7 linked regions of the Coturnix japonica genome follow. The protein of the gene in region 1 interacts with the protein of each later gene in a pairwise test. Links are inferred from orthologs where the notes say so. Each region holds a gene or a part of one and is shown on either strand. Other genes may lie near its edges. The genes, in order: GLRX3, MAPKBP1, CA9, MOXD1, TRIM36, MAP3K3 and phospholipid scramblase 1.

Region 1 (4,055 bases):
TCCAGAGGAATCTAAGAGTCATTTCTGTATGCTTTTTTATGTGCCATTTTTCAGGGATTTCTTAATTGCTTTGGAATTCTTACCATGTTTTTATGTTAGCTGTCATACTTCTTCAGTATTGTTCCTTAGCTATAGTGTTACAGCATGACAAAAAAGAAAAAAGAAAAACTTGACAGTCTTGTGGTAGAAATGACAAGTCTCAATGGGGTGCATTTACCTGTGATGATTAAACTCTTACTATTTCCTTTATCATTCTTTTAATAATAAGCTTTGCTAGCATTAAGAGTAGCTAGCTAACAGGATGGTATGGGTCTTGAGTCTGCTGCAATTAAAGATTGATTGACTATGAGATCAGTATGCTAATTCACCCCAAAAACCTGTATTTTATATGGTGGCTTTACTGTTTTTTGTGACAGTTCACATTCTGAATGTAATCCTTTAACATGTGCCTGTATTTTGGCTTCTTTAGAACTCTCAGAAGGTTGACAGATTAGATGGTGCTCATGCCCCAGAGCTGACCAAAAAAGTCCAACGCCACGCGTCCAGCACTTCAGTTTCTGCTGGTTCTAATGACAGTGCAAAAGAAGATCTTAATGCACGTCTGAAGAAACTCATCAATGCTGCCCCTTGCATGCTGTTTATGAAGGGGTCTCCAAAAGAACCTCGCTGTGGTAAGGATTTTCTGAAGTTCATGTTTAATGTGGCAATGCTACTTTTAGACTACTTTTAAGATGTACTCAGTACTGTGGAATTACATCCCAGTGGTGTCTTGCATACTTGGAAGCATTAATAGAGGTACCATCGTATTGCTTATCTACAGATAGAGAATTGCTGTGTGTTTGCTTCAGTTTAGGAAATGGCATCACAAAGATCAGGTACTGCCAGAAGAACACGTGCAATGCTATCCTTAGACATTCCTCATGTTCAGTCACTGTATTTTGTGTATCATTTCACCAGTTGAAGTGTCATATAGTCTGAAGGGAATGATTCAATTTGGGGTATAATAAGAATTAACAAACAGAATCACCACTGTCATTTTGGATAAAGAAACCAAAGCTGCACTAGCTGTTAAAACTGAAAGACAGTAGCATGTCTGTTACAGCGGAAAGGCTTTTACTTAAGCCTAGTTCTATAAACAGTGAACAAGAATTAAGAGTGCTTTATTCCCAGCTGACTTAGTGTTGATCTGTAGGAAAGCAGGTGAACAATTATTAAAAAGCAAGGTTAGGTGCCATGAAGCTGCCATCTTGCATTGACTTGTCTCTGTTCTCTCACTGTATTGGTCTAGAGATTAAATACTGCAATGTCTGCAGTTCCTTTTATGAAGCAGCTAATGCTGAGATAGGTTTAAGACTGGGTTCCTTTGCTATGTGTGCATGCCTCCTGTAAGGCAAGTTGTGCTAACTATATTGCTGGGCCAAAAAGGTGAAGGAATTTCTAAGTGTAACAGGAAAATCAGAAAAGAGCTAGAAACGGTAACTCCTTACAGTCCAAGCTGCTGGAAATGGGCAAATATTTATAGAACCAATAAAGAGAGCGCTGCTCCAAGTTAAAGTGTTATGTGAAACTTTGGACCCCTGTTGTAGTTGGTAAGGGCTCAGCACATTCTACCAGTCAGGAGCCCACAAATGCTTGGTCTGAGCTGGTGGCGTGGTGTGGTGAGTTAGGGATGTGGTATCAGTTGCCAGACATCCTTGTGCTGTGCTAACGCTGCTTATCTTCCACACATGGAAGATCTCATCATGGTTTGAGTATTAGATTTAGCTCACAAGTTTCAAAGGCAGATATGCTTCTGTAGCATTTCTTGGGTGTTCCATTGGACTGTGTCCAGAAACTAAATAGAAGAACTGTGTGCAGTTCTGTGCAAGTACCTGGAAGGAACTGACTTTACACACCCTGTCAGCTTACTTAAATTTGGAAGGATGCAAATTGTAGCACGTTGATTTGGTGAAGATAATACAGACTTGTGCTATGTGACTTAGAAAAGAGCCTCTGCTATTTTGCACTGTATCTGTGCAGGCAGCATGTTACAGGATTTATATTTCCAGAGATGTGTCTGTAGCACTGCTTATTGAAATCGAGGATTGGGTCCATAGAGTAAATAAGAGCCTTTTCATTAAGTTCAGGTAGCTTTAGGTCATGACCTGTGCTTGACAGACGAGGGAGCTGAGCAGAGTGGCAGCGACAGTGAATCTACTGCTTGGGCCTATTGGGATGGAATTACAGGGAGAAGCTGACACTGTGTGCATTGGACAGGAGAAGAACTGTCTGTCTGTCAAATGCTGGTAATTGGAGGGAGTTTAGTACAGTGCCTGGTGCCCTTTTTGAGAAGGAAAACTTGTATGTAAAAGTCAGGAAACAATATTTGAAAGGGAAGAAGTGACGTGTTGGGTGTGTGTCAGCCTGGGCCACGTGCTGCAGAGATTGGTGCTGCTGGGCTGGGCAGGAGGAGCCTGGCAGCTCAGCCCAGGCACTTGTGTGGCTTGTGTGTCTCTTTTCTTCCTGCCTCTGCTCTCAGTACCTACACAGCATTCCAGCTGCTGTTAAATGTGTGCATGCCACTTTACCATTTGCTGCTGTAAAAAGGTTGTAGAGGGACAAGGGCATGTAGCCCTGTACACATAGAGGCATCCTGAACTGCATCAGACTTCTACTGTATTAGTATTTGCACGTCAGTTATTATATTATCACATAGTGTGATAGAAAATAATCTGAATTTACAGCTCTTAATTTTGTAATTAAATACTATACTTGCTTTAGACTGCTTTGATGGCTCCTGGCAGGAGCTGGAAGATGTCAGTAAGTTGGCTTTCACATCCTGGAGTAGACAAAGCCTCTTTCAAGTTGAGATAATGTAACACTTTGTCAAAGATAATACAGATCTGCTATAACAGCAGTAGGAATAATATAAATATGATTGAATAAAAGGAGCTGTGCCTGTTGAAAGAAGACATTTGTGATGTATATTGATTTGATGCAAAGAATAGACCAGATGCCTTTCATGCAGCTGGTGAGCAGGGGAGGATCCCAATCCATCAGTGGATCTTGAGGTCTCGTGTACTTTGATTTCCTCACTGTAAAGCCAGCTAAGCATAGTGTAAAGCAAGGCTGAGTGCTTATTGGAGAGTGTGTGTGATTGCTATGTACGTTGTGTTGTTTCATCAGATTCTTTTGGCCTGTGGAAGTATTTGTTTGCTTCATTGACAAAGTCGTTTATTTAGGCAGTTTTTATCACTGCAGTAGCTGAAGTGGCACTTGTGATTTTCAAGATAATTGCTGAGAGTGTTTTGTTTGCAGTTTAATTATTACTCGTGATTCTTGTGTAGTATTTCTTCAGAAATTCAACCTCAATCTTTTGTTACAAAACTAAAGCTGTTCTGACACTTTGTCCCGAAGTGTAACACTTCCAGGCTGCTACCATAGCCCTTCAAAATGAAACACAACCGATCAATCTTTCTAGTTTGCATGTAATTGCCTGCAGCTAAAATAAAGCTTCCCCCCGCCCCGTCTCTTACAGTAGAAACAAGTTAATGCATTGGTGATGGAATAACCATCAGCAGTCGGCCTTTAGCTGTTTACTAATGAACTCCCAGATGGATGGAAAAAAAACCATATCGGAATCTGTGTTTTACTTCAGGCTGTACATGAACTTAACACTCCAGTTGTAGAAAGAAAAGCAACTTAGATGCCATCCATAGAAACACTGCTATTTCATATCTCAATAAATTCAGTGAAAGCTGCAGAAAGCTGTAGTAAAAATCCATATTTCAAAAACTAATAGGTGGTCGTGTGAGCTGAAATCAAAGGTTACTTTTGTGTGGCCCTCTGATTCTTTTCTTTTTCCCATTTAAAGCTTCTTTATGTCTTTCTTTCCTTTATTAAAGCCTTTAAGCATTGTCTTTTATTTAACACTTGTGTAGAGGTTTTCATTTGTCTGCACAGGGTTTGTAGGAGTTCTTTTAGGGAACTGATGGAATTGCAAGGACATTTGACTCTGATGCAAAATGAGCTGACAAAGAAATGAAACATACATTATCATCATGTTGTTTCATGGG
Region 2 (4,055 bases), on another chromosome or scaffold:
ACCTTTCTCCAGACTGGCATCTCACAGAACTGAGACCAGCATAAAACCATGGTCAGAGGAGAAATCCAGGAACAATAGTGAGAAGAAAGAACTGTTTTGAGGGAGTGGGAGGGAAAAGGTGGGAGTAGGTATGGCAAAAAAAACCTATAAAGGTAGCAGGGCAAGAACCTTGGATGGAACTGAAGCCCATTGTGCTCAAACTCTACAGGGCTGAGTGATTCAGGAAAAAGAATACAGATGGATTTGTTCATGTACCTTTTTGCTTTTCAACATGTACATATGAGTGAATATTCGTCTAGCAGCATTTATACATCTTCTGTATATATTCATGAATTTATGAAATTATTGAATGAAATTAGATGAGGTCCCCTTCCACCTGTTCAATGATAACCTTTGTGAAGTGCAGAAATAATAGAAGTAATGTGACTAAGTTCTGCTTTTTAGGTAACTAAAGGAAGTTGAATGCCCTTTGTCTAGGCTATTTTAAATTGAAGATAACTGCAGACTGTGTGTGTGTCAGTGTCCTTGTTCATGATTTACGTCTTAACTCATGGAAGTGTTTATTAAAGCCTTGCAGGCCTTCAGCTCTGATGCTATGAAAGTATTGCCCAGTGAAAGGCTGGAAGAAAGTGGTGTTTTTCAGTTCCTTCCTTTTATTTTCAGTCTTTGAATTACAGTGTCACAGTACCCTGAGCAATTAAGGAGTGTGATTCCTTTATGATTGTGTTAGTCAGCAGTCATCTAGAGCTCAGTCCTTGCTAGAGAACACTGTAATAAGTCAACATACTCCTTTGTTCCCATAGCTCATTGTTGTATATGGTGCAGAACAGTATATAAAGGGGAGTGTGTAGGTTTCAGATTAGGTGGATGCCAAATTAGAGGCTCCTCAGATCACAACCCTTTGCTATTGGAAGACTTGAAGTTGAATTTAACTATGAATGAAAATGGCATATGTGATCTCTGACTGTCATTGACTGTAACAGCACTGTGTAATCTATAGAGACCATTACTGACTTTGAAGAAACTAGGCAATGGAAAAAAAGGAATGTTTGAAACAAGAAGCATCTGTCAGTAATATGAAGGAAAGTTCATGCAGAACAAAAATGAATAAGAACTGTGTGCACATGATCTTCTGAATATGTGTAAAGAAATGTTTTCAACCCAGCTGTGAGATCTCAGATATTGAAGTATCTGTATCTTACTTATTTTTTTTATTTTTTCCTCCCATTCAGAACCAAGCATCAGTGTGGAGCAATGTGAGCATGTGGTATCAGAGCTCCAGGACAGCATGCGCAAAGCCATTCATCTTTACCATGCGGTGAGTGATCTTTGACACAGGATCTATTTTAACAGATTGGTTTTACAGCCCAAGAGTACAGAATATGCGTGCTTACACACTCTAATTATTCTCTGTACTGTGAGTTCAGTGGCAGAAGCTGCCTGACTGTTTACTTCTCCGTACCTAAGCTTGAACTGGGCAGGCAGTATTCTTGATTTTTCAACTTCTGCATTTTCCAGTGGCTTGTTATGGCATTCTGAGCAAATCAATTAACTTGCCAAACTGTTTTGTCTATCTGTAAACTGAAAATAACAGCATGCTCTTTTTCAAAGGGCAATTGGGGAATTAGTATTTATACTATGTTTCAGAGATACAGAATATTATAGGAACTTTACATTTTATTATCCCCTTTTTTCAGGTGCTAAATGATACAGAGTCATCTACTGACAAAGATAAAATAGCAGGCCTCCTGACAGAAACATTTTCCTTAATGAAGAAAGAGTTGGACTCCCTGAAGCATGAGGAAGAACTGCCAAAGGTTAAGGAGGTACTGATGAAGCCACAAGATACTGCTAGGTCAATAAATGACAAATGTGGTGCCAATCTACCAAGTTCCAAGAGTTTAGGAGACGAACAGACATTAGCTTTGCTGGAACAGTACTCGGAGTTATTGTTACAAGCTGTTGAACGACGCATGGACAAAAAACTCTAAAAGCAGCGTCTTTCAGGTGTTTGTGAATGCACAGAAATAATCCGAAGAGGAGGACCACAGAGAGATCTTCAGACCAATGCTGTCATCACACTGGTCTAGAGCTGGTGGGGTGACCTTTATAAACTGATTTCCTCAGGCTCCTACAGTTGGCTTGCTCTAATTCTTAGGAATGTGCTGGACACAATTTTAGTGTTTTTTTTTTCCCTCCAGTCGTCTTCAACTTCCTGTCTCTAGATTGTCTTTAGACAAAGTTCTGAAAGAGGAGTTTGGAGAAATTGCCTTGAAATTTCTTCCTAGCCAGGAGATCAGGATGTTTGGCACCTAAAGAAACAAAGAAAATCTCATTTATCCAAGAACTTCTGAACTGCGGACTGAAAACAAAGGAGTCCAAGTGAAGCTGATCCCTTCTCCAAAACTCTAGGAGAATCAAGAAGCAGACTTTTTATGGGTTTATTTATTAATTTATTCTGACTGTTGTTCTGTGTCATGTTTATGACCAGTAACTATCCTTTAACAAAAAAATGTCAATCTCTTGCCATATCCCAGCGAGAAACAATCTCTGTATTATAAATCTCCAAGAGGGAGACAGGCTGGAGTGTCTGTGCAATTAATGAACTGGTTTCTGCTTAAATTTTGTCTTGCTGTTCTTTCTTTTCCTTCCATAGTTTGTTACTTGGAGTAATCCTACTGTTGTTATGACTACTCTTGTCTGCTTTTCCCTTTGTTTCACAAGACAGTCCTCATAGCTGTGTTTTATCTTCATTCGCCTCCAGGGGGAAGACTCCATAGCCCTTGGGCCAAGCTTTGGAGTTGCCTGACAAAATCAGTAGTGATAATTTTAATCTGGAATTTGATGTTACGTTGATGTTCTTCTGCAGACATTTTTAAAAGGGGGTTATATACAAATAGGAAAGTTCGTTTCAGCCACCTTTCACATTTAGGAATTGGATATCAACTTTGATGTTATCAATACTGGTAAATTTGGGGATATGATTGATTTGTGGAGAGATCACACGGAAAGCCTGGTTTCCAACAGCATAACTCTGGATGTGAGAGTTCTTCAGTGCAACTGCTTGTCTTGTATGATTTGTTGATTTCACAGGCTTGATAGAAAAGGTATTTTTTCTTGTTGTTCCAGGAAAACAGAATACTTACATCCCAAGAGAGCTGGGATTCTTGTCCATTTTGTATTTCTGTTTCAGCTACCCACAGAAAATGGTTTTCCAAGAATATACCAAAATATTTTTGAATGTGATTATTGCCATTCCCACCCCCAGCCTCTCTCCATTGATTTCTTGGCTGACATGGAAAATCATCACCTCTTGCATTTGTGTGTACAGTATTCTTCTCACCTTCTCTAAGACTCTGCTAACTTTTATTTATTATGACTTAAAACTGTCCAGTGATATTTTATTAGTCAACAATAAGCTATAAAACAAACAACACCCTCCCCCGCCCCCCCAGTGTACCAACAGTGAAACTCTTCAGTACCTTCCCCTGTAATTCTCACTCCTTTCTATAATCTCCTAATTTACTTGCGTTTATTTTAAGGTAGAGCTTAAAAACCGCTTCTTATTTATACTCCCGCTTTATAAAACTAATGCAAGTAACAAGCTTTCATGTGCATGAGAGAATGCTACCGTCTGTGGCGTTCGCTTAAAGGTAGCTAGACTGCATCAGTTTGTTCTGTGGGCTGGAAGCTTGAAGCAGTCTTCTTTCATTTTGCTGTCCTGGCTGTCATCTCTTTGAAGCCCTGTGGCACTCAGAAATGCAATATGTTGATTAGCTTTGCTTTCTCTTTCTGTGACTGGGGATTTGCAGTGCAGCCTTTTTTACTACTGGGCCAGCCAGACTGGTGTAGGATGGCTTATTTCTTCAGTGGAATCCAGGGCTGAATAATCTGCAGTTGTCACTGTTACCTTGCCTGATCACTGCTGCTCAGTTCTTTGCAATGTGGCAGTATGTGGAGTGCTTTCAGAGCTTTCCAACTGCTTTTGTCCCTAATGTAAATCTGCCTCATTGAGTGTTGCAGGTGTCCTTGCTAACCTTTCTTTCCGTGGACTT
Region 3 (4,762 bases), on another chromosome or scaffold:
GCCCTGCAATACTCTGGTCCCTTCCACACGGGGGCATTCACAATCCCACAGTCCTTTGGCATGCACATTTAACCCTCTGCCCTGCCCAGCCCAAATGCAATCCCAGCCTCCATCCCAGCTCCCCGCTGCAGCACGTCTTCTCCCTCTGATTGCTGCTGAACTGCTGCCATGCACCACAACAGAGGTGATGGTGCTGCAGCTCCCTGCAGCTCCCTGCATGCCCTGCCTTGCCTCTGGGCACACTCAGCCCTGGCAGGGGCTGTAATGTGCTCCCAAAAATGTGCATGTAAGGAAAAATGTGCTGCATTAGGGCTTCAATGAACATGCTGGGAGGTGTGAGCAAGGAGAGTCTCAGCAGGGAAATACTGTGGGGCTCACAGGGGCAGCAGCAGGAGCCAGCTGCCACTGCAGACAGCACAAAGGCACTGTGCTTGGCCACGTGGAGTCCCTCTGGTCCCGACTTGCTCCAAGCCCACCCCTCCCCTGAGCAGGGGGTGTTTCAAACCCAAGAGCAGCCACACTTCCCCCTTTCAGCGTTTTCTCCCTGCTGTCCTCTCCTTCTTTCCATGTTGGGATCCCAATGCTGCTGCCGGATTACTTTCTTCCTGACGTCCAACACCATCCAACAACACCTCCCCGCTGAGTCGGGGCGGGCGCTGCCATTAGCAGTGCTCTGTTCTGCATGTCCTGCGGCCTGTGAGCAACGCAGCTGCTCCTAGCAGTGGGGGAAAGCAGAAAGCTGCAGTCTGCTCCCAGAAACATCCCCACGGCTGCAGAGACTACACACCCGTAGCTGTTTGTACAGAGCAAGAGCCAACACCAGAGAAAGCAGAGGGTCTGTGCTCTCCATCCTCAGATGGAAGGTCAGTCCACAGAACAGAGCAATATGGGGTGTGCATCAGGACACACAGATACATCATGTCTCAAAGTAGTGAGCAGCACAGATCAGTCCCAGCCTACCACACATTCAGGCACCTTGTCCTCTGCAAGTAATAACCCGACCAAGGTACAGAGGCTGTGCCACTGTGCTCATGCTGCCCGCAGCCAGCTCCCCAGGCACAGAGCTGGTACAGGGTGCAGAAAATGTCCAGCATTCCCTGCTAAACTGTACAAAGAGCCTCTGCACCTCATGGACAGGAAAACAGCATTCCCCAACCCGATCTCACAAGCATAGCCCCTTTTTGTCTACCCAAACCCACAGCCATGCAGCCCCAGCCATCACTGTGCGCACTGCCCACGGGGCACTGATCCTGGCTGCACTAAAGCCCTTTTGTGTTTATTAACTTTGGCCAACAGCGAGCCATGGGGATCAGCCTTTAATCCGTACCGGAGCTCAGGTCGCCGCAGGGATTGTTCTTTGTGCTGCTGGGGAACAGAGGGGCCCCATGAGGCAGGCAGCATCCCATGGAGCAGTGAGAATTTGTGGGGGGAGGCACAGGGCAGGAATGGCCCCCGGTGTGTTCCTGCTGCCTGTAAAACCAAATAGCCCTGAAGAGTGCCAGGGGAAAGTATGGGGTAAAAGTGGGGAAATCCCAGGAAAAGACTGGGGCTTGAAGCAAAGGAATGAGTTGAATCAGGGGGTTAAAACAGAGGAGGGAGCTCAGATGGAGGAAGAGAGCATCAGGGAGCAACGAGCAGAGGGGACACAAAGCAGAATGGGTTTGAATAGGAGGGAGAGAACGGATAGGCTGCACTACTACAAAGACACCAGAGGTTCCTCAGGCTCCCACGCTGGGAAATCTCATGGAAAGCCTCACAGAAGGCTGCAGCACGTACTGGGAGCCACCAGCCTGGCCCCATGCAGGAGCTGAGAGGAGGGGAAAGAGACAGGAATGCATATGGGACCCGGCCCCAATCCAAGGGCTCTAGCCAGACCTTCACCGAGGGCTGGCTACTGCTCCTTGCCACATCCTCTTCCCATCCACATCCCACCCAGCCCTAGCCATGCTCACAGCCGCACAGAGCCGGTGTCACCCAGCTCCCTCCCACCCTGCGGCGGAGTTTCTCCATCTCTGTGGCAAGGAGCAGCGCATCCCCAAAACCCCACGCACAGCCCAACAAAGACTTGGTAAGAAATGTGAATCACCGCAATAACAGCAGCAGCTCGCGGCACCCTGTATTTGACACCAGTGAAGACACACTTTGAGCCTGGAAAGGCGAGCCCACGGGCAAAGCAAAGCTGGGACGGGGACATCCTTGCGCTGTGCTCAAACCGCACTATCCCCAAATTCTGCTGAACGCCACAGTGAGAAAAGGGACCGAGACCAAAGGGGCTGAGCATTATCCCTCCAAAATGACCCCAAAACTTGAAAGCCCCCTGCGTGGGGTGAGGGGAGGCACACAACAGCACCTCGTCCCACGCTTCCCACGCTGCCCCCATCCCACCGCCCGCCGTGGGGCAGCCGAAAGCCCCGAGCCCCGGTGGGAGCGGAACGCGGGGCGGGGACACGGACCCCGCGGGGGTGAGGAGTTGGCGGGAGCGGGGACAAAGGCAGCGGCGTGCGGGGCTGCGAGGGGACGCGGGGCTCCGTAACGGGAAGCACTGCAGCCCCAAAGCCCAGCGAGAAATCGGGCATCCGTGCGTCGGGATAACACGAAGCCGGCTGCGGGGTGCCCCGTGCATGGCATTGCCCCCTGCCTCGGAGACCCAAAGCCCCCATGGTGGGGGGGGATCCCGCCTGTCGGGACCCCGTAGGCAGCGCTGTGCAGCCCGGTCTCTGCCGCTCACCTCTCTCCTGGGAGTGCGGAGCGTTGTCCTCGTTGTGCTCGTACTCCTGCCCGGCGGCGGCTCGGCCCAGCCCGGCCAGCAGCAGGACGCAGACCCGCAAAGCGGTGCGGTTCATCTCCAGCAAGTGCGGCGTGCGGGACGGCCCGCGGCTGCCTGCTGGTCGGGACTGCCGCGCATACATGGGAACAGGAGGGGGGAGGAGGCAGCCCTGACTCAACGCCGCCGTTACCTTTTATAGAGGCTGGAGGCAAAGTCTGCCGCCGCCCGGCCCGGACAGGTGAGCCACGCCGCCGCCTCCTCCCGCACCGGGACTCGAATCCGTGACACTGGAAGGACGGAGGAGGGGGCTGCCCCCGCCCCCCGGCATCGACGGCACCTGAGTGGCCCCTGCGCAGGGGGGGGGAGGGAGTGAGGGGCCCACAAGGGATTCTACAGTGATGGATTCCTCCATCGATGGAAGCCTCTATTGATGGGCGCCCACAGTGAATAACATCTCCAGTGAGGGACCTTTTCAGTGTAGTCTGAAGAAGTGTGCAGGCAGTAATGGGATGGAGTTAGCTCTGATGTTAATTTGGGTCAGGGAAAGGCTGGAGTGGTCCTGAAGAGTTCAAGGGGCTATGGTGGGTTGTGCTTGGGCTGACCGCAGTCTGTGTTATAGCTGGGAAGGAACACAGTAGTGCAAGCAAGGGTGCAAGAGGGTGGATTTAAATCAGGTATTGCAGCTCACAGAAGAGATACAAGTCACGGAGATGACAGCTGACTGCTTGCCAAGAGAGTGAAGCAAACATTAGGGATTATCAAGAAGGAAACAAAGAACACAACAACAGAAAGAAAAAAATATGGAAAGAAGAAACAAACCCCAAACATTCTGCTGTTGTATAAACCTCTGGTGAATCCTCCTTTCGGTTATTACCCTTGGTTTTGTTTCTCCCATCACAAAAGATAGAGAAGCAGCACATGCAGGGGCTGGCTGGGCACAGGAATGGCTTCTGCACAAGGAAGGAGCAAAGCAATATGAGACAAAGTCTATGGTCTTGGCATCACAGGTCATACAGGACCAGGGAGCCCAGAAGCACTGACTCCTTGGGTAGTGGATTTACAGCACTGTCAACCCATGTTGACTAGCAGGAAGTTTGAGACCAACCAGCAAAGTATCTGTTTGTAAACTGCAGCAGGGAATGGGGGAACTCCTTCAGCTGAGCGTGTAATTTGTGCCTGTACAAGAAGATATCAGACAAGTTGCTGGGCTCCTGGCACCACGGGTTCCTGCTCTCCCCTTTAGCAGGTGCCTTACCTTGCACCTGGGGTCTCTAGGGATGACCTGAAGGTGGGATCAGTGCACTCCCAACCTGCAGGTTTTATCCTGATTCACCTTGCTCCTATGAACACCAGATAAGCCGAACCATCAGATAGGAAGACATTTATTTGTCAAGGCTCAAGGAAACAAGACTGTGTGTGTGTGTGTGTGTAGGGGGGGAGGGGAGGGACAGAACATAAAATGCAACTCAGACAGCCTTTCCTGCTCACATTCCTGTAGGTTATCCTACAGGATAAAAAGGAAGAAGAGTCCTGGTCATTTTAATGAACAAAATGGAAGAAGAGGAAGAAGTCTGGTTATCTAGGAAGGACAGAATCAATCTATCCCTTTTCCGGCCAAGCCCTATGCAGTTCTCAGCTTACACCTGGGCATACTCCTTCTGTTCACTTGTCAGGTAGGTTGCCTTGTATTTGTTGTTTCTATTCTGCACAGCTGGAGTCACTCTGAGGCCATCAGCCTTGCTGCCCTGCCTTAGGTTTCACTGTCCTCCCTCTTCATTACTCTTCCAGGCTGCACGTATACTATCACAGAAGCTGTAATTGCACACGTCTCCTTTCCACCTCCTGTGCCTTGTCAGCTTTTTGTAGAGACGAAGATAACTGGCAGTCACAGACACTGGAGGACAAAAGGTGAATTTGTGGGCAAGCCACATTGGATGCGTAGTCAGGGAGTGCAGTGGGTTGTGGATCGTGGCCTCATCCAACAAGCCTGGCATG
Region 4 (3,703 bases), on another chromosome or scaffold:
TGTATTCAGATTAGGTGTCCATGTTCTCAATTTAGAGAAGTGATTTCTTCTTATATTTCTTCTTTCTTCTTGCTCTGTAGGGGAGATTGTATTGGCTACATAAGGAAGCCTCCAGAATCTGCTCTTTAATTCATATATCTAAACCACTTAAATCTATACAAATCTTCCAACATCTCTTTTCTGTTGGTACTGTATCTTAAAGATATCTGTAGTAGTGGGTCAGAAAAATGCATCAAGCATTGCCCATCTTTTTATGCATTCTTTCTTGGAAGATTTATAACTTTGATAGTTTTCCTTTACCTGTACTTTTGATGAAAAAACTGTAAGATAAAAATAATTTCCCATTAATTTGTTATTTATTCTAAATTAATGTTATATTAGCAGGACCTCTGGGAAAAACTCTTATCATTAATGTTGATATGTGCTTGTAAATAACTACTAGTGTCATCCGCTGGAAAACATGCATTGCTCCTTGAAATCCTTTACAGATTCCAAATTCAAGATTTGATTATACTTTTTTGATTTTTTTTTTATTTTTTTCTCCCCAGAGGGGAAATTGTCTTATTCTGCTAGTTCATTTCCTAACTGATTTTAATCCAGCTTAACAGAGCTGATGCTAAATACTACTCATGAGAGAGGACCTAGGAAATTGTCACTCTGCAGAAAAGCTTCTGTTGCTTCTGAGATGTCACACAGTAGTTTCAGGTAGTGGAGAAATTCCCCTTCCAGCAGCAGTGTCCTAAGGTCTCTCAAACATTGGACTGTTCTGCCCATGGGAGGGCAGTAAAATACTGTGAGCTATAAGTAATCAAAGAGATCCAGATATATGTTTTTTTTAATATTTTCCCCACTGCAGACTTTCTGTGAAGAGTAGTTATTGAATACATGCAATAATAGAGCAAGTGACTATTCGTTGGTTTGGGGTAAGATTCTTGGCTAATTGCTGTCCAGTAGCAGCTACTTAGCCACTTTTTCACTGATTATTAGTGAGAGAACAATTAAAGAAGATGGAAAACACTCAGAATTTTTATCAGGAGTGGATAGGCTTCTTTATTCTTTGAGTGGTTTGCTTTCTGGAAAATGCTGTTTCACTTTATCTTACAGGATGAAGGAATAGTATTTGGGTCTTAATTTTCTCAAAGACCGAGTTCATTGGAACTGGGAGTACTTAGTTCTCTCTTTATCACTAGTTTCCTATTTCAAATGACTCAGTCATATTCTTCAAAGCTGAGATTAGGGCTCTTTCCTTTTCCTTCCCTAAGTAGGGATATTACATGTAATTGGCTGTACTCATCAAAATCAGAAACAGATTTAACCTGAAAGGCTATGCAGCGAGTTGTCACAAGAAGGTAAAAACATGAAGTGGAGGAAGTGAACTGAAAATTCCTTTATCCTACTATAGGGATAGCCTAATAATCAGTTTTATCTTTGTCTAGGAATAAGCCAGTATTTGGATTATTCTTTCTCTGAAGTGCAGGATAATTGCAATGTAGAGAAAACCACCGAGCATGTATTGTACAGTTGGACATTCAGACCTTCAAAAATATTTGTGCCCAGGGGTTCACTCATCATAGAACTAATTTTCTTCAACATAAACCTGACAATGTTTCATTTAATTCAGGAATTAAACCATGTAAGCATGGAGTAGATTTAGGAGATTTATAACTAAGTGGCGCACCTAAATCTCTCTGATTCCATGTCAAAGCCAGGACAGACAGGTAGATGCCATACTCCATAAAAATTACACTGAGTTCTAAGAGAAGAGTAAAAATGCCCAATATATAGAAGCATGACATAGCTCTGGGTGGCCCTGCTTGAGTCGAGAGTTGAAACAGATGGCCTCCAGAGGTCCTTGCCAATCTCAGTCATCCTGATTCTGTAGAACTAAAGTGATAAAAATGTGAGCACCATCAACTGCCTTCTACATATAAGTAAAAGCCTTGTATGTGCAAATGAATGCTTTCAGATATTATCCAATATCTCAGTAGCACTGTAACACTGTAATCTTCCATTTTCATCTTCCAGAAAGATGAAAACAAAAACCAAACCAGCCAGAAAATCCCACAAAACATAGCAAGGTCATGCAGATCAATAAACAAAAGCCTAACCTTGTTTACTGGAGAGGATGCCAGTGTACACAGCTGTTTCCAAGCTGAAAACAGTAGATCCACTCACTGGCTGATCATTTGACAAGTAATATATTAGTATTTTTACTGAGTTTGATGTCTTCACAGTAAGATCCACAACTACAATACAAAGCTAACAACAGATTCTTGTGCAAGCTCTGACGGATCTAATCTTATATGATGAAACTGATAATTTTTCATTTTAATTGCAGTTCCAAGGCATGACAGCTTTTCCTCCTGAGGTAGAGAGACCATACAAGACAGAACCAGTAATATGCAGTTCATCTTCCTGTTTACCTTGCAGTTTATCCCTCGCTCTGTTGTTTGTGGTACATGTCACATACAGTACCATAGGAAACTTTGGGCCCTTTGTACAATAATTTTTATTCATTTGTGTTCTGTATGCCATGCAAGTTCTGATGTGTTTGCACTGTTGCTGTTGTAGATTTATTTTTTTACATATTAATAAACTAAATTTGCTAGTTCAAAATAAAATGTGTACTTTGTTTGAAAACTGTGGTTTACTTGGTTTTCAATGTAAAGTATATACAAAACACAGTAGGTACACTGGCACGTTGCATATTGAAATCTTTTCACATACAGTTTTGTTACACTTTGTCCTGGCTCTTCACATCATGTTTTCAATACCAACTATGTATATGGGTGAAATTAATAAACTAAAAGAAACTTAGTTAATCACATTCAACCTGGAGTATGCTTTATTATTTTGTCTTGGTTCTTGATATGTGCAGGTTAAGAAGTAAACATGTACTTGGGTATTTCTGACTGGCACATGTAGTACAGCCACAGGGAGGATTTATTCAGGGGAACATGTCTAGGAGCAACACGTTGCAACTGGTCACTCCTCTTATAAGAAACAAGTTGCCACAGTTGTTAAATGGATGAAAATAGGGACAAAACCCCAAAATTCCCCATAGGGATTCTTGTACAAGGAGTCCCTGGCTAACCAGGGGATTCTCTCCTCATTTCTTCTCTTCATCTTTTCTTCAGTCCCTGACAGTTCAGTGTTTCTTTCTTCTTAAGGTATTGGGTAGGGTCAAGCAGAGCTTTGGTGAGGCTAGCACACACTTGTTGTACACAACCTTGATATAGCAGAACTGATGAAGATCAATCTTTCTCAATGCTCGGTACTGGTATGCACAGAGAAGGGAGTCCAAGCCTGCCTGCCAGCAGCTATTGTTAGCACATGCCAAGCATCCTGATATGCCAAAGTGTTGATAAAGAGCTTATTTTTTGCATACCACACACCTTGTATGACTTTTTTTTTTTTTTTTTTTTTTTTTTAAATGTGAAAATCTGTGTCTTCTTTACTGAGATGTTGTTCAGGAGGGAAATTTTCCTAAAGATACCTAATTAATTCCCAATGATATTATGCAACACACTGGAAAAGGACTTACTTTGTCCCTAAGCCCTCATTTCCATAGGCACACAGTAGCTGCAGTTAACTATACATTTTCCACATTTCAGCATAAACATTACTGGAGGTCAGCTGTGAAAATAAGGTCTTTTTGGGTGTTTAGAGTGCTTCCCTGACCACTGCAGTACCAGCACTACAA
Region 5 (4,844 bases), on another chromosome or scaffold:
TCTGAAAGTTTCCTTCTGCAGAAGTTGGGCACAAAAATCCTCTTACAGCTATTCATCCTCTACCAATTCAAAACTGTTTAACTCATCTTTCCTTCAGTGGAATGCATCTGCTTCTCCTCTGGGCTTTACTTCAAAACGACTGTAAACAAAAAAGTTCCTGATGCTGTAATTGATAACAATACTTGTCCTACAAGTAGAATGAAATAGATAAACCGATATAAACCTAGTGTGAATTTCAGATCCAGGGCAGCAACCCTGGTGTGGATCCCTAAGAAACAGCTGTTGATTTTGTTGAGATGTGGACCTTAGCACGCTCCATTTTTTAAAGGAAATCCCTGCTCTTTTGCTATTGTCTCATTCATTCACTCCACTCTGCCATCTTTTTCTACTCTCATTGTGATCTGTGATTTATAAGGAATAGTTTAAATGATATTTCTCTTGAAAAAATCTAGAAGCATTTCCATAGAAAAATGGATGCTACCAGAAACCTTTTCATGACAGTTCTTTCATTTGTTCAGCAAGCGATTACAAAGGATGGAGGGGAACAGCAGTGTCTGCTCTGCAGACTGTTGCCTGTATCTGGTCCTTGTATCCCTGATGCTGTTGCTTGCCAGGCATCCTATGCATGAAGCAGAATGCAGTACACACGGCACAAGGTGAAAAAGCAAAGATACACTGACCAAAGGAGAATAGTTCCCAAAGCTGAGCATTACCTCAGTATTGTGGTAGTTTGATGAGCACAGTCTTTATTGGCTGAGCGCTCTGTGCAGCAGCAATGTGACCTTCCAAATTTGTTCTGTCCAGCTGATCAGGTTATAGGATTCAATAGGAAACCCATTGAACCATGAAGATCATGGGCCTGTAGCACATCCCTGCAGGGCAGATAAACAAGCCAAACCAGAGCACTAGGGCTTGACAGTTTTATATTTAAGGCCAGAAATCCTCACACCATCCTTACTTTCACTTAGATACACCCATGTCAGTGAGATATAGCTGAAGGACAATCATCAAGAAGGCAAAGGTGAGCTTGCCTTTGTAAGGCAGAGCAGGCACATTTCTTTAAGGCAGCATCAAATCCATTCTTACTGCTGAGCTGCATGTTGTCCAACCTGCATGACTGACAAAACGCTAGGGAAAACAGTGATCTTCAAGGCTGAGCTCCTCAGGGCTAAGAAGAGAAGATCCCACTGCAGACAACTTACACATAGATTAATGTGTGCTAAAACCCTGTTGCATCCATCCCAACATAACCTACTTCCATGGCCCAGAGTGAAAAGGGTCTCTGTGGTGGCTCAGTCCCCAGGACAATGCCTGCTCTGTCCAGTAGGTCAGGAACAAACCTCACAGGCATCCTCTATTCCTGCTGTGTACACACTGGCTCTGCTGCCAGCCAGCTCAGGAGAGGAGCCCTGGGTGGAAAAGCAGCATGAAAGAAAAACAGCCTTGCAAAATTTGGATTTAAGAGCTTCCCAGCGGCCTCAAACGTGTATGCTGAAGGCAGTAGAGCTGCCAGGATATCCCGATCTATTTAGGGCTGCACTGTGCTGCTTCATACAGCAGAAACCTGGTCAATGCCAAAGCACGAGTGTAGGATTCGTGCAGCTGCAAACATCTGGCTGTCACCGATCGCGGCGCCCCCTGCCGGCCGCTCGCTGCCATTCATTCCCTGGGCGTGGCCGCCCCCCGCGGCGCAGCGGCTGCCAGGTACCGCGTCCCGCCATTGTGCGCTGCCGCCGTTCGGTCCGGAAAGGCGGTTCGGCCCGGTCCGTCTCCATCGCTGCGGCAGGAGGAGGGGCCGGTATGGAGGGCGACGGGCTGGAGACCGAGGTGAGCGCCGGGCTGGGGGCGGCTTTGTCCGGGGGGTTGTCGGGCTGAGCCGCGCTTGGGATATTTTGTATTGGGGTATTGGTATTTTTATGTCTTTTTGTTTGTTTGACGGCTCCGGGGGTTTATCTCCGAATGGCTGTGAGCGCGGGGCGGCGGCGTGCTGCCGTGCTGCCGTGCTGCCGGTGATGGGTGGCTGGCATCGGTTCTCCTCCCGGCGGGGAACCCACCCGCACGGTACCGGGTTTTTGTGCAGGGCTCCAGTTCTACCCTGGGTAAACCACAGCAGCTCCGGTGCCCGACAGCGACTTACAGCCGCTGTCTGCCCAATTGGACGCTTATTTTTAATTTTCCCCTAAGTGACGAGCAGGGAAGCTGAGTTAAATGTGTGGCTTGCTATTGTTAAGAAGCGTGGTTGCCTTCGTGCCGCTACGTCCCAAGGTGCAATTAATCTTACTTGTCTCCTTTCCTTCCCTGCAATGCAGACATAACCTAAAGATGAACCAAGTTCGCGTAGAAGCCGTGTGCTTTTCAGCTGCAAGGACTCTCATAAATGTTAATAAAGATTTGTTTGCAGTGTTAACCAGAGCACTGCCACAAGGCAGCTAAAACCAGCCATCATTCTGCAGAGCTGGGCTTGGGTGGCATGAGTAGGGACAGCATCCCTCAGGGTGGTGATGCAATGGAACAGGTTGCCCAAGGAGGCTGTGGATGCCCCATCCCTGCAGGCATTCAAGGCCAGGCTGGATGTGGCTCTGGGCAGCCTGGTTGGTGACCCTGCACACAGCAGGGGATTGAAACCAGATGATCATTGTGGTCCTTTTCAACCCAGGCCATTCTGTGATTCTATGAGCATGGAGTGTCTTACAACTTGTGCTTTCTGCTTGGTTTTCTCCTCTTTCTGTCAAAGGTTCCTACCAAAAGTATTGAAAGAGAGCTCATCTGCCCAGCCTGCAACGAGTTGTTCACCCACCCGCTGATCCTTCCTTGTCAGCACAACTTGTGTCACAAATGTGTGAAGGATATACTGTTCACAGTTGAAGACTCGTTTGCTGATGCAGGTTCTGAATCCTCAAATCAGAGCAGCCCCCGGTTTCGAATCTCTTCTCCTAGCTTGGACAAGATTGACAGAATCAGTAGATCAGGTACGTGTCAGAGTTTTGCTTGTTTTTTTAATGTAATGTATTAGATTGACTTGGGCTGAATGGTATCTGCGTGGGTAAAATGTCTTCTCAGTCCTCCTGATGTGGTTAATTAGACGACTTAGGATAGCACGGATCTTATTCATTCTGTGATAAGAACAGTGGGAAGGTTTTAATTTCAAAGACAAGGCATTTCACAGAGAACACATTTGACTTTGTGGCACCCTGTTTGTAGCCATTGCCTGTTTATTTCAAGTCCTGTTGGGCACCCAGGTGTAGATGTCAGCAGCTTTGTTGTCCTGCCCTATTCATGCTGTTTGCATTGCATTGTTTTCCATTGATGGCGATTATTGGGTGATTGAAGAACTGGAGGCTGTGGCTATTTGGAGGTTGTGCTAATAGTCTTTCAGTGTTTTGCTCAGGGCTTTAAGGTGCACTTAGCTTGAGGACTCGTATCACTTTGTGGTATCATGGTATACAGACTCTGACTGTACTCAGCTGTCTCTGTAATTCAGGGATGAGGTGATCAGATTTTACACAGATACACTGGAAGTATTTTATGCATGCCATGCATCTTAAAAGAAACCTCATCTCGGCTTTTAGACTTCATGCTGGAAAAACTGCCCACTATAAAACCACATTCCGCAGTGCTCCGGAAGAGTCATGTGCAAGACACACCCTGAATCTATTTGCATTTCATGTTCACATTTGTCCCCGTCCCAGTTTTCAAAGTTCAGATGTCGTTGCCTTCACTTACGTGACGCTTTGATTTATTCAGCTGTTCCCTGAAATTGGTTTGATAAGTAAATGCTGTGCTTGCCATCGCTTGGCTGACTGTTGCTCAAAGGAATCAAACTGCTAGTTATCTTCATTCCAGCCCTGTTCCAGTATGTGGTGTGGACAGCCTTGAGGTGACTGAGCTCTATACACACTCCATTGCCTTCCTCAGCTGCAGTTTCACAGGAGCCCACTGGTAACTGTGTTACTCCAAGTGGAGGTCTGCTCACTTCCCCCCTCACCCCCCTCCCCACACCCAGACAGTCTGGTCTTCTGGCATTGCTTTGTATGTATGGACTGAGAGCCTCCCTGGTTTTGCAGCTGTCAGCTTTGACAAGGTGGGTATCTTAGCCCCCAGGCTGGGTGCCTGGAAGGTGCCGAATGCACTGTGGGTGACCTCCTTGTGAGAGACAGTATAGGAAGTGTGAGGAGGCTGTCCATGGGGAGCAGCCTTCTTGTGCTGCACTTCCCCTTTGGCCTGTTATCCCACCTTCATCTCGCTCTTCATCACGAGTAGAAACAAGAACCTGCTGTGACACGGTCCAACTCAGTGTGCAGCACAGTCAGCCCTGTGTGAGGAAGGAGGCAGAGGCTCCTCCGAGGAGCCATAAGAAAACAAATGCTCTCACATCCCCCCCTGCATTGGAAGGGAGGAGAATTTCAAAGAGTTGATTGCGGGGGTTTCTAGAACTCATTTCCCAGTTCTGCAGTAGTAGCTGGCTGTTTTTTTCGCAGGGTTTAGATGTACTACTATGTTAACACCACTGACAGCAGGACAGGAAAGACCTATTTGTGGTATTCCTGCTCCATTGAGATCTATACCATCAGCTTATTGCAGGCGTTGCCATCTTCACAGTAGTCTGTCACCCTTCCAGCAGACAGATAGAGTGTCCTGTGTTATCTTCCTATCTGACTTGTTAGCTGGGGGAGATAAATGCTTTGCTAATGTCTTCATACCCTTTCCATGAACTTCAGGAGAGTGCTGAAGCTGGGAAGGAATTGTTTTCCCTCTGTTTCCCATAATGAGTGTTGGGCAGAGGCACATCATAGGCAAATCATCTTCCCAGCCATTTCGGATTTGCACAATGAAAATCATATGGA
Region 6 (4,600 bases), on another chromosome or scaffold:
AAATGAGCCTAAACACTGGTAATGTTGGGCTGTGTTTTCGGATGGGAACTTGAAGGTGATATGTGTGGAAACCCTCTGCTCCAAAACCAAAGGCAGGGCTGAGATGATTGGCTCTGTGCACAGCTTCTGGCCCTTGATGGCTCAGATCTGTTGATCTAAGCATTCCTTTACAGATTGATTTGTCTGTCTCATTTGGCGTAGCAGGATCTTTTCATTATCCCAGATAACATCATCATGATTTGGTGATGCCCTGAACTCTTCCTGGCCCTCACTTTAGGCAATTTTTCCTTTCCAATCCAGTTTTCCTTCCTGTGTTTTCCAGCTGATGCAGCCTCTCAGACATGAAAACATTTAGAAAACAACACGCTTGCTGTTAGATGTCTGCTGGATAGACAAGCAGCTGCTGAAGCCATCTGCTCAAGGTGGGATTCCCAGCAGCAGGGTGGCCATCATTGCATTGAGGAAGGAGAGCTGGACTTGTTCTTAATGAAACAAAACCCCTCTGCTATGCCAAATACACCCCCAAGGTGGAATGGAAGCAGGGCAGAGCAGCTGAAGGCTGGCTGCTGTTTTTAGAAGATGAGTTGATTTATGGAGCTTGAGGTAGAATTATTAGCTTAGATTGGACAGGAACAGCAGTTCTTTGCCCTAATATCTGTCTCATGGCATGTTTGTGTTGTGTTTAGCAGGGATGTTTTCTGCTTTATGGGCACAAGGGGAGGTGGCAGCTGGGAATGTTAAAGGAGGAAGAGCCATCAGGAGCCCATCAGCAGGTGAATGAATGGCACAGGTGAGCAGTTCTATTTCTAAGGACACAACAACCACATCCTCATTAATATGAACCCCTAAATGAAAGGAGAGGGGTTGAGTGAGCTCCAGCCTCGTGTACCTAAAGCTCATCCATGTGGATTTACTTTCATACCAAGTAACTTCAACAAAGGCACCGTGCCTTTCCCCATTTCCCCCCTGCCTTTCCCCCCTTCCCCTTGCCTTTTTCCCCCTTCCCCTTGCCTTTTTCCCCCTTCCCCTTGCCTTTTTCCCCCTTCCCCTTGCCTTTTTCCCCCTTCCCCTTGCCTTTCCCATCCCATATTGAGCCCTTAGGGAGAAGAGCCGGGAGCGGTGGGCACTAGGACCCAGCGGCGCAGTCCGAGCGGTGGGCGGGGCCTCGCTGCCGCCCGTCATTCTGATTGGCAGCCGGCTGAGGGCCGGTCCCCTCCGTTGGCGGGCGAGGAGGCGGGGTCAGCGCAGCGAGCAGCACGACCCCCAACGATTGGCTGGCGACTGTCTGAGCGGCGAGCCGATTGGCGGGCTGTGCCGTCGGGTGGGTGGCTCGGCGGCGCTGATTGGCTGAAAGCGGCGGGTCGGCCCCTGTGATTGGCAGGCGGCGGCGGCGGGTGCGCGGTGGCGGCCGAGCGGTTTGTTTTGCTCGCGGCCCGGTCGCTCGGTGCCGCCGGCGGCGGGTGGGGAGAGACCGGCACCGGCCGAGTCCCGGCCCCACAACCCGCAGCCCGGAGCGGGGCCGCCGGAAGGAGGCGGCTGTTTGGGCCTGGGAATGTGGCGGCGGCTCTGAGCCCTCCCCCTCGGCCCGGCCGCCATGGAGAGACGGCGGTGACAGCAGCGTACCACAGCGCGCCGCCCGCACGGAGCGGGCCCAGAGCCCACAACCATGGGTGAGAACGGGGGGTGAGCGGGATGGGGGCGGCTGTAGGATCGGACAGGACTGGGCCGCGATTGGGATGAGGGGCGGGGGCGGGACGAGACGGGGCGTCGCCTGAGGGAGGGGGGGGAACGGCCGGGGGGGCCTTAAATCTGGATGTTGGGCTTAGAAAGTCGGGCTGGGGGGTCTTAAATCCTCGATATTGGCCTTATAAAGTCGGGCTGGGCTTTGTGGTGTTGGTACCCGATTCACTTTTTGCTTTTCAGCGGTAAACGATGTAGTTTTTCTAAAGCAAGATCAGGTTGGACGGGGCCTTGAGCAACTTGATCTGTGGGGTCTCTATGGGGATCTGTTGGGATCTATGGGGTCTCTATGGAGTCTATGGGGATCTATGGGGTCTCTGTGGGGATCTATGGGGTCTCCTGGGCAACCTGATCTAGTAAAGGTGTATGTTTGGTGGCCCTGCTAGGCAGGGGGGTTGGAACTACATGATCCTTGAGGTCCCTTCCAACCCGGGTCACTCTGTGATTCTGTAAAGCAGAACTGACTCATTTGCTGGCAGGGGAATCACTGCTGTTACCTGCAGCGCTTTGTGGGCCGTAGCTTTGATTCTTCCTCCAAGTTTGGTGCTGTGGGACTCCCTCAGCGTTCAGTCTGTGCATGTAATATGTTCACTTCTTTATATTGTAACTGCATTGCAAACGTCACTCCAAGCAAATGCAGGATGTTCCGTTCCCTTTGTGCCCTGAGACGATCCCAGGCACAGCAAGACCTACAAGAAATGCCTATTGTATAAATGCAGTAGATGGGCAGGTCTATAAGTGGGCTCCTCTTCTCTAAAGAGAGATGTCTGGTGTTCCCCAGGCAGTGTTATCTCTGCAGGAGCCAACCTGATGGTGCAGAACTCACAGCAGCCAACCAGGAGGGTGCAGAGCTTCCATGGAATTGCTTTGTGGGGCTGTTGGATGCCTCTTGATAAACACGTGAGCACGGGATGAAGAAGAACAGTTCCACGGTCGTGTTGTAATGGCAATACTGATTGCTTGCAAAGGGAGAGATCCAAACTCATTAGGCTGTTGTGAGCAGATCTTTTAGAGACTGTTTTGCTGTGACCCTGAGCTTTCTCCCACCTTGTTTCTCATGAGATTCTCTGACAGATGAGTGCTGCCATTGAGAGGTCAGTGTTGCAGGTTGCTGAGCTCCATTGATAGAACCACAGCTCGCTGGCACTTCGCAGAAAGGGCAGTCATTTCCAAACCTGTGCTTTCCAAACAGAGCTCCTCAGCAGCAATAGGCTCACTTGCTTCTAATACAGAGAAACGTGAGTGTATGTGGGAAGCAGAGGGGAGGAGCAGCACTCAGGCCCAGAGTGAAGTGCTCCTTGCAGTCCTGCTGCTGAGGCTCTCCCCGGCCTGCTCTGCTTTCCTGCCTGTGTCACTTCCTTCCCTTAGCTCTCATTGCCTGGCGCTGTGCAGTGACAGCCCCCACTGCTGGGGGAGGGAGGGGGCTGAGCCCAGGGTCGGTCAATGCCAGCTACAATCCTCAGTGTGAGGAATTTCTCAGTGTGAAGAACCTCAGATACATATCCCAGCTCCATAGGGATGCTCAGCTTTTTCTTCTAAACCTTCAGGCCAAGTTTTCTGTTTGAAATAAACTTGCTCGTTGCCCCTGGTTCTGCTGGCAGAATAGCCAGCAGCATCGCTGTTGGTGGCAGCAGATAACAAATGCGTGTGTTTGCTTTTCTCAAACAACTTCTAGTGCCTTCTATTATCATGCTATATAAAATACCATCCTGGATCATAGAGGTTTACAGGCTTTTCTGCACTCTGCAGACGCTTTTACTTTGGGGTTTGTTTGTTTTTCTTTAACCCTATTCCTGTTTTGTACCACTGCAAACACACCGACCTGCTCGACCCCGTGGAGCAAACCCTGTACGCGTGGAAATAAACGCGTTATGAGGATGAAGGGTTTTCTCTGTGAGCAGCAGTTCCCCTTTATCCGATGGTAGAAAACCCGTGAGTGTAGTTTTTCAAACATGAGAAGCATTTCCTGGACAACATCTTTGAGCACAAAGCAGAGCTGTGTTTCCCAGACCTACTGGAGACGTAGCAGCAAAGGGTCCTTCAGTGAGCTTCCAAAATTGCTTATTTTTCATTCCTAATAACTTTTGCATTGTGTGATTAATGTGATGCTGCTGCATATACTCCCTTAAAGCCAATCTGTGCAAATCCTCTCTTTGGATGGAAAGAAAGAAGTATTCATGCTTGGTAACATTAAATCCATCACAATGTTGTCCTGAATGGAAACATTTCTTCCTTTGGCAAATGTGTATTTCACACCGATTTTGTGTTAAAAAATGATAAATACTCTGTTTCCCACCAAAACAAGGATGAATTCTCTTCTGTATATTGTCTGAGGGAGATGGTAGCCCAGTCTGTGATACTAACATCACATAAGCTCCACCTGCTGCTGCGTGGCATAGCGTGGCTGTGTGCTGTAAGATCATAGCATTAGTGCTTGCCTGCAGGTGAATGGAGCACCCAGCAGTGCTGCGACCCTTCCTGCTCACCAGGGGGTTCTGCTGCTACCCAGGTGCTGCCATGAAGAGTTTCACGTTGCAGAGTTGTGTCAGTGCACAAGTGAGCTAGTAAGTAGTTGCACATCTAAGCTGCAGCCTGCATCAGGAGGCTGTGGATGCCCCATCCCTGCAGGCATTCAAGGCCAGGCTGGATGTGGCTCTGGGCAGCCTGGGCTGCTGGGTGGTGACCCTGCACATAGCAGGGGGTTGGAAATGGATGAACATTGTGGTCCTTTTGAACCCAGGCCATTCCATGATGTGATTCTGTGATATGATTTTGTGATAGGAGGCAGATAGCTGCTCGGACACGTGTCTTCTCTGCCCACTTCCTCCAGCAAATGAGAGACTTTGAAAATCAGCCGACG
Region 7 (3,414 bases), on another chromosome or scaffold:
AGTCTGTTGCTTCTCTTATTACAAGACAACTGCACTGTGGTATATACAAAATAATTAAAACATAATCTTTTAATGCTGATATAGTCAATTAAGTTATCTAAGTAGGCAGATCCTTCTGGAAAAGCCTGCCAAACTTTCAGAAATTACGTCAGTGATCTGATTTCCATTCTCTTAATGGAAATTTGGTAGCAAAGTCTTTATTAATCCATGATGTTAGTCCCTAAAAGGAAAAAAAGTTGTATTAGCTGTTTATTAAAATGAGTTTCTACAACCACTTGTCCAGTCATTTAATAGTCATTCACTAACCAAGTAAGTCATGATTTAGACCTAAAATATACATTTGAATGACTGAAGAATTACAACTATTATTTAAAAAGAATACTAATTAACGTATTAGCATTTTCATACAAATTAACTAATAGATAAACTAACTAAACTTTGTTTAAAATGATACTGTAAATCGCTGAAGCGAGTTTAGTCTGATTTTATTTTGGGGGATTACACTTTCATAGAACTATGAACACTGGGTGTAACTTTAGGAAACAACGTTAAGAAAGGGCTAACCTCTCTTTTGGAATGAGAGAATGTAATTTGTTTAATTTTCCCCTGAGCCTTTCCTGATGCATGGCAGGATATAATAATTGACTCTGCTGGCTAAAAGACAGTACTCCCAACAGAGTGTGTGTACATGCACACGTACATGTTTGCATGTAAAAGCTGACTTCCAACACCAATGAAACACTGAATTCCCATCAGATTTAGAATTAAGTTGATGCCTGTGTTACTTCACTCTGACTTTCTGGTGGTCTGGCTTGTCTTTCAGTACTAATAGTCGCATTCAGTGACTGCATTACTTTAATAACACAATTTAAATCTTTCTGATGGATCTATAATTAAAAGAATTTGTGGATTCTTTAATAACTTCTTTTTTTAAATTTTATGTTGAAATAGGTGAAGACTTTGGATGAGGATGCTACTATTGGGAGGATTTCTAAGCAGTGGTCTGGGTTTTTGAAAGAAGCATTTACAGATACTGATAACTTTGGAGTCTCATTTCCAATGGACCTTGATGTAAAAATGAAAGCTGTCATGCTCGGTGCTTGCTTCCTTATCGTAAGTCTGTAGCTTACTGATATTTGAATATGAACTGACTTCATCTCAGTGTTTAAATTGTGTTGATAAAGGTTTTGATTTTGGGCTCCTTGAAGCGCTTGAGAGCTTTTGGTCAATTTCTTGTGTGTAAAACTAACCCTGGAGGGAATATTTTGGATAATAAGCTTATTCTAGTCTACATGAAGTGCTGACTACATTAAAAGGAGCTTTATACACAATCAGATTAACAAGCCCCATAAAAGACAACTTTACAGACTCATAAGCAGAGGCAAGCATGTTTATGTGGATGGTGAGACCAGAAAAGTAAAGAACAGCATTAGCCAGGAGGCCCAACCAAGGCTGGAACAGCCCACTGAGGTGGTGAACCACTGATAGGTGCTGCATCCAGTTCATCCTTCTTGGAAATACATGAAGCACCGAGATGAATAGGATTAAATACTCTCAGAGGGATCGTTTCTATGGGCAGAGTCTTATATGGGGGCAAAATACATCTAACTTCATACTGTCCTCATCAGCATTCTGACTCTGCCATGCTTGTGTTTCCACTTACCTGTGCAATTCAGCATCAGGCACTGCTTCAGAAGTGCTCTGTTTCTGTTTTGGTAGGGCTCTGGAAGGGCAGGAAGAGCTTGTTGCAGCATCTGCATTTGGAAAGTTCTCACCAGCTTTTACAGCCCTGCATATGGACCAGGTTTTCCTTAGCTGTGTGTGTTCAGGTGCAAGGATGTAGGTGAAGAGTAGGGAGTATGAAGAAGCATGGACCTCAGGCACAGAATATGGGGCTCCTCTTTGTAAAGATAGAGACCTTTATGGCAGAATCCAGTTTGAGGTAATATTGAAGGGACTTGAGTCAGGTTGAAGGAAGTTAGGATGGAAATCCTAAGTAAAGGAAACATGCCTTCTGCTAATGATAAAGTTAAACATCTCAGTCTTCTACCACTTTTTTTTTTCTCTTGTTGTGGATTCCTCGTTTTCTCTACAAGAGACTCAGGAATTAGGTTGGAGAGAGGTATTCCCAGCTGCTTCTTGTCATGTAAGGTTTCTGGGGAGTAATTGCTTTGAATACCTGCAAAAGTACCACAAACCAAGATCTAGATTTTAAAAGGATTGAGTTTGTTTGCTTTTTGTTTCCTTCCTAGGACTTCATGTTTTTTGAGAGCATTGGTGACAGCCATCAGCGAACGGGAGTGTGGCAGTGAAATCTAGAACTTTGTATTTAGAAGGAAGAAAATAAACCACCCACTTGCCAGAGGATTACAGAGCTCCAGTGAGAATGTGAGAGATGGACCTTTTGCACTTGTAATTATATTTCTATAAACTAAAAGCTTTATTGTCTAGCTTCTAGTTCTGTAATCTAATGACACTGTTGTATTCAAATAAGCACTTTTTGTCTGTACAGATAAATAATGTAATGTATAGAAATATATAGCAGCCTTTTTTCCAAGAAATTTGGAATTGTTGTATTAAAAACTTAATTCTTAAAAAAGAGATCTATTTCTTTGTTCAATAATAATATAAGCAGTCAGCCTAATAAAGAGGTTCTGATCGTTTCGTATGTATCCTTCTTTGGTAGTTTTGGCTTGGTGTTAGTATTCTGTTGTTTCCAGCTTACCAAGTATATACATTCAAAACAAAGTAATCTAAACAAACAGAACTATCAAAATACACTGTAAAAATTGTATTAATCTAGTTATGAGTCTGCTCTCATATGATTCATTTAGTTCCCTAATTTTGGCTCTTTTGAAACTTAAGGTTTTGATTTTCACCAACAGAAGCTAGAGGAGACTGTTAAAAAGAAGCAACCACAAGCATTTGTTCCTAATACTTGCTGAAAAGTATCTTGTCATCAATTTTTTATCAAGGGACCAATTTAAGAGTGAATGCAAATATCAGCAAGGTAATAGGAACCTTGGGCTAACGGGACATAACTAGGGGCCTATATTCATTCCTCCAGGTAACTCAGAATCTTGTGTTTCCAATATTGCTGTGCTTAGATGTTCAGTGTAAGGCCTGAAAGCACCTTCAGTCCAATCTGCATGCAAAATCAGACAAAAAACAATAACATCTGTCTCTCACATCAAACCATATAGGGAAAATATTTATTGTAAGAAAGAAGCTAAGCCTTGCAGATTTGCTTGAACTGGTATACTAACAGTAAAGAACTTCTGCAATCTTGAGTCGTTAAAGCACACAGGAACCACAGGAACTTTCCATCACCTGGCTAACTGGGTAGTTCTGGTACTGGTTCAACAGTTTTTTTGCCTTGCAAAATGCTTCACAATAGTCTTCTGTGAGGCTGAA

What was found.
Region 2: the proteins of GLRX3 (region 1) and MAPKBP1 interact in binary tests that used the Homo sapiens proteins (3 or more experiments, as listed by UniProt). The two-hybrid records come from large-scale screens. The link is inferred for Coturnix japonica from reciprocal best matches to the Homo sapiens genes GLRX3 and MAPKBP1.
Region 3: the proteins of GLRX3 (region 1) and CA9 interact in binary tests that used the Homo sapiens proteins (3 or more experiments, as listed by UniProt). The two-hybrid records come from large-scale screens. The link is inferred for Coturnix japonica from reciprocal best matches to the Homo sapiens genes GLRX3 and CA9.
Region 4: the proteins of GLRX3 (region 1) and MOXD1 interact in binary tests that used the Homo sapiens proteins (3 or more experiments, as listed by UniProt). The link is inferred for Coturnix japonica from reciprocal best matches to the Homo sapiens genes GLRX3 and MOXD1.
Region 5: the proteins of GLRX3 (region 1) and TRIM36 interact in binary tests that used the Homo sapiens proteins (3 or more experiments, as listed by UniProt). The two-hybrid records come from large-scale screens. The link is inferred for Coturnix japonica from reciprocal best matches to the Homo sapiens genes GLRX3 and TRIM36.
Region 6: the proteins of GLRX3 (region 1) and MAP3K3 interact in a two-hybrid assay, tested with the Homo sapiens proteins (2 studies listed by BioGRID and IntAct). The link is inferred for Coturnix japonica from reciprocal best matches to the Homo sapiens genes GLRX3 and MAP3K3.
Region 7: the proteins of GLRX3 (region 1) and phospholipid scramblase 1 interact in binary tests that used the Homo sapiens proteins (3 or more experiments, as listed by UniProt). The two-hybrid records come from large-scale screens. The link is inferred for Coturnix japonica from reciprocal best matches to the Homo sapiens genes GLRX3 and PLSCR1.

The regions. Positions count from the first base shown.
Region 1 is NC_029521.1:30,518,960-30,523,014, forward strand, and holds part of GLRX3 (glutaredoxin-3), read left to right. Parts: intron 1-469; coding exon 470-671; intron 672-4,055. UniProt on the Homo sapiens protein: Together with BOLA2, acts as a cytosolic iron-sulfur (Fe-S) cluster assembly factor that facilitates [2Fe-2S] cluster insertion into a subset of cytosolic proteins.
Region 2 is NC_029520.1:22,497,648-22,501,702, forward strand, and holds part of MAPKBP1 (mitogen-activated protein kinase-binding protein 1), read left to right. Parts: intron 1-1,232; coding exon 1,233-1,318; intron 1,319-1,697; coding exon 1,698-1,991; 3' UTR 1,992-4,055. UniProt on the Homo sapiens protein: Negative regulator of NOD2 function. It down-regulates NOD2-induced processes such as activation of NF-kappa-B signaling, IL8 secretion and antibacterial response. Involved in JNK signaling pathway.
Region 3 is NC_029547.1:8,485,563-8,490,324, forward strand, and holds the start of CA9 (carbonic anhydrase 9), read right to left. Parts: upstream 3,038-4,762; 5' UTR 2,910-3,037; coding exon 2,729-2,909; intron 1-2,728. UniProt on the Homo sapiens protein: Catalyzes the interconversion between carbon dioxide and water and the dissociated ions of carbonic acid (i.e. bicarbonate and hydrogen ions).
Region 4 is NC_029518.1:51,616,453-51,620,155, forward strand, and holds the end of MOXD1 (DBH-like monooxygenase protein 1), read left to right. Parts: intron 1-2,338; coding exon 2,339-2,506; 3' UTR 2,507-2,827; downstream 2,828-3,703.
Region 5 is NC_029547.1:64,999,175-65,004,018, reverse strand, and holds the start of TRIM36 (E3 ubiquitin-protein ligase TRIM36), read left to right. Parts: upstream 1-1,691; 5' UTR 1,692-1,800; coding exon 1,801-1,827; intron 1,828-2,734; coding exon 2,735-2,969; intron 2,970-4,844. UniProt on the Homo sapiens protein: E3 ubiquitin-protein ligase which mediates ubiquitination and subsequent proteasomal degradation of target proteins. Involved in chromosome segregation and cell cycle regulation. May play a role in the acrosome reaction and fertilization.
Region 6 is NC_029542.1:2,178,698-2,183,297, forward strand, and holds the start of MAP3K3 (mitogen-activated protein kinase kinase kinase 3), read left to right. Parts: upstream 1-1,380; 5' UTR 1,381-1,666; coding exon 1,667-1,670; intron 1,671-4,600. UniProt on the Homo sapiens protein: Component of a protein kinase signal transduction cascade. Mediates activation of the NF-kappa-B, AP1 and DDIT3 transcriptional regulators.
Region 7 is NC_029524.1:9,825,784-9,829,197, reverse strand, and holds the end of phospholipid scramblase 1, read left to right. Parts: intron 1-951; coding exon 952-1,113; intron 1,114-2,252; coding exon 2,253-2,312; 3' UTR 2,313-2,664; downstream 2,665-3,414. UniProt on the Homo sapiens protein: Catalyzes calcium-induced ATP-independent rapid bidirectional and non-specific movement of phospholipids (lipid scrambling or lipid flip-flop) between the inner and outer leaflet of the plasma membrane resulting in collapse of the phospholipid asymmetry which leads to phosphatidylserine externalization on the cell surface.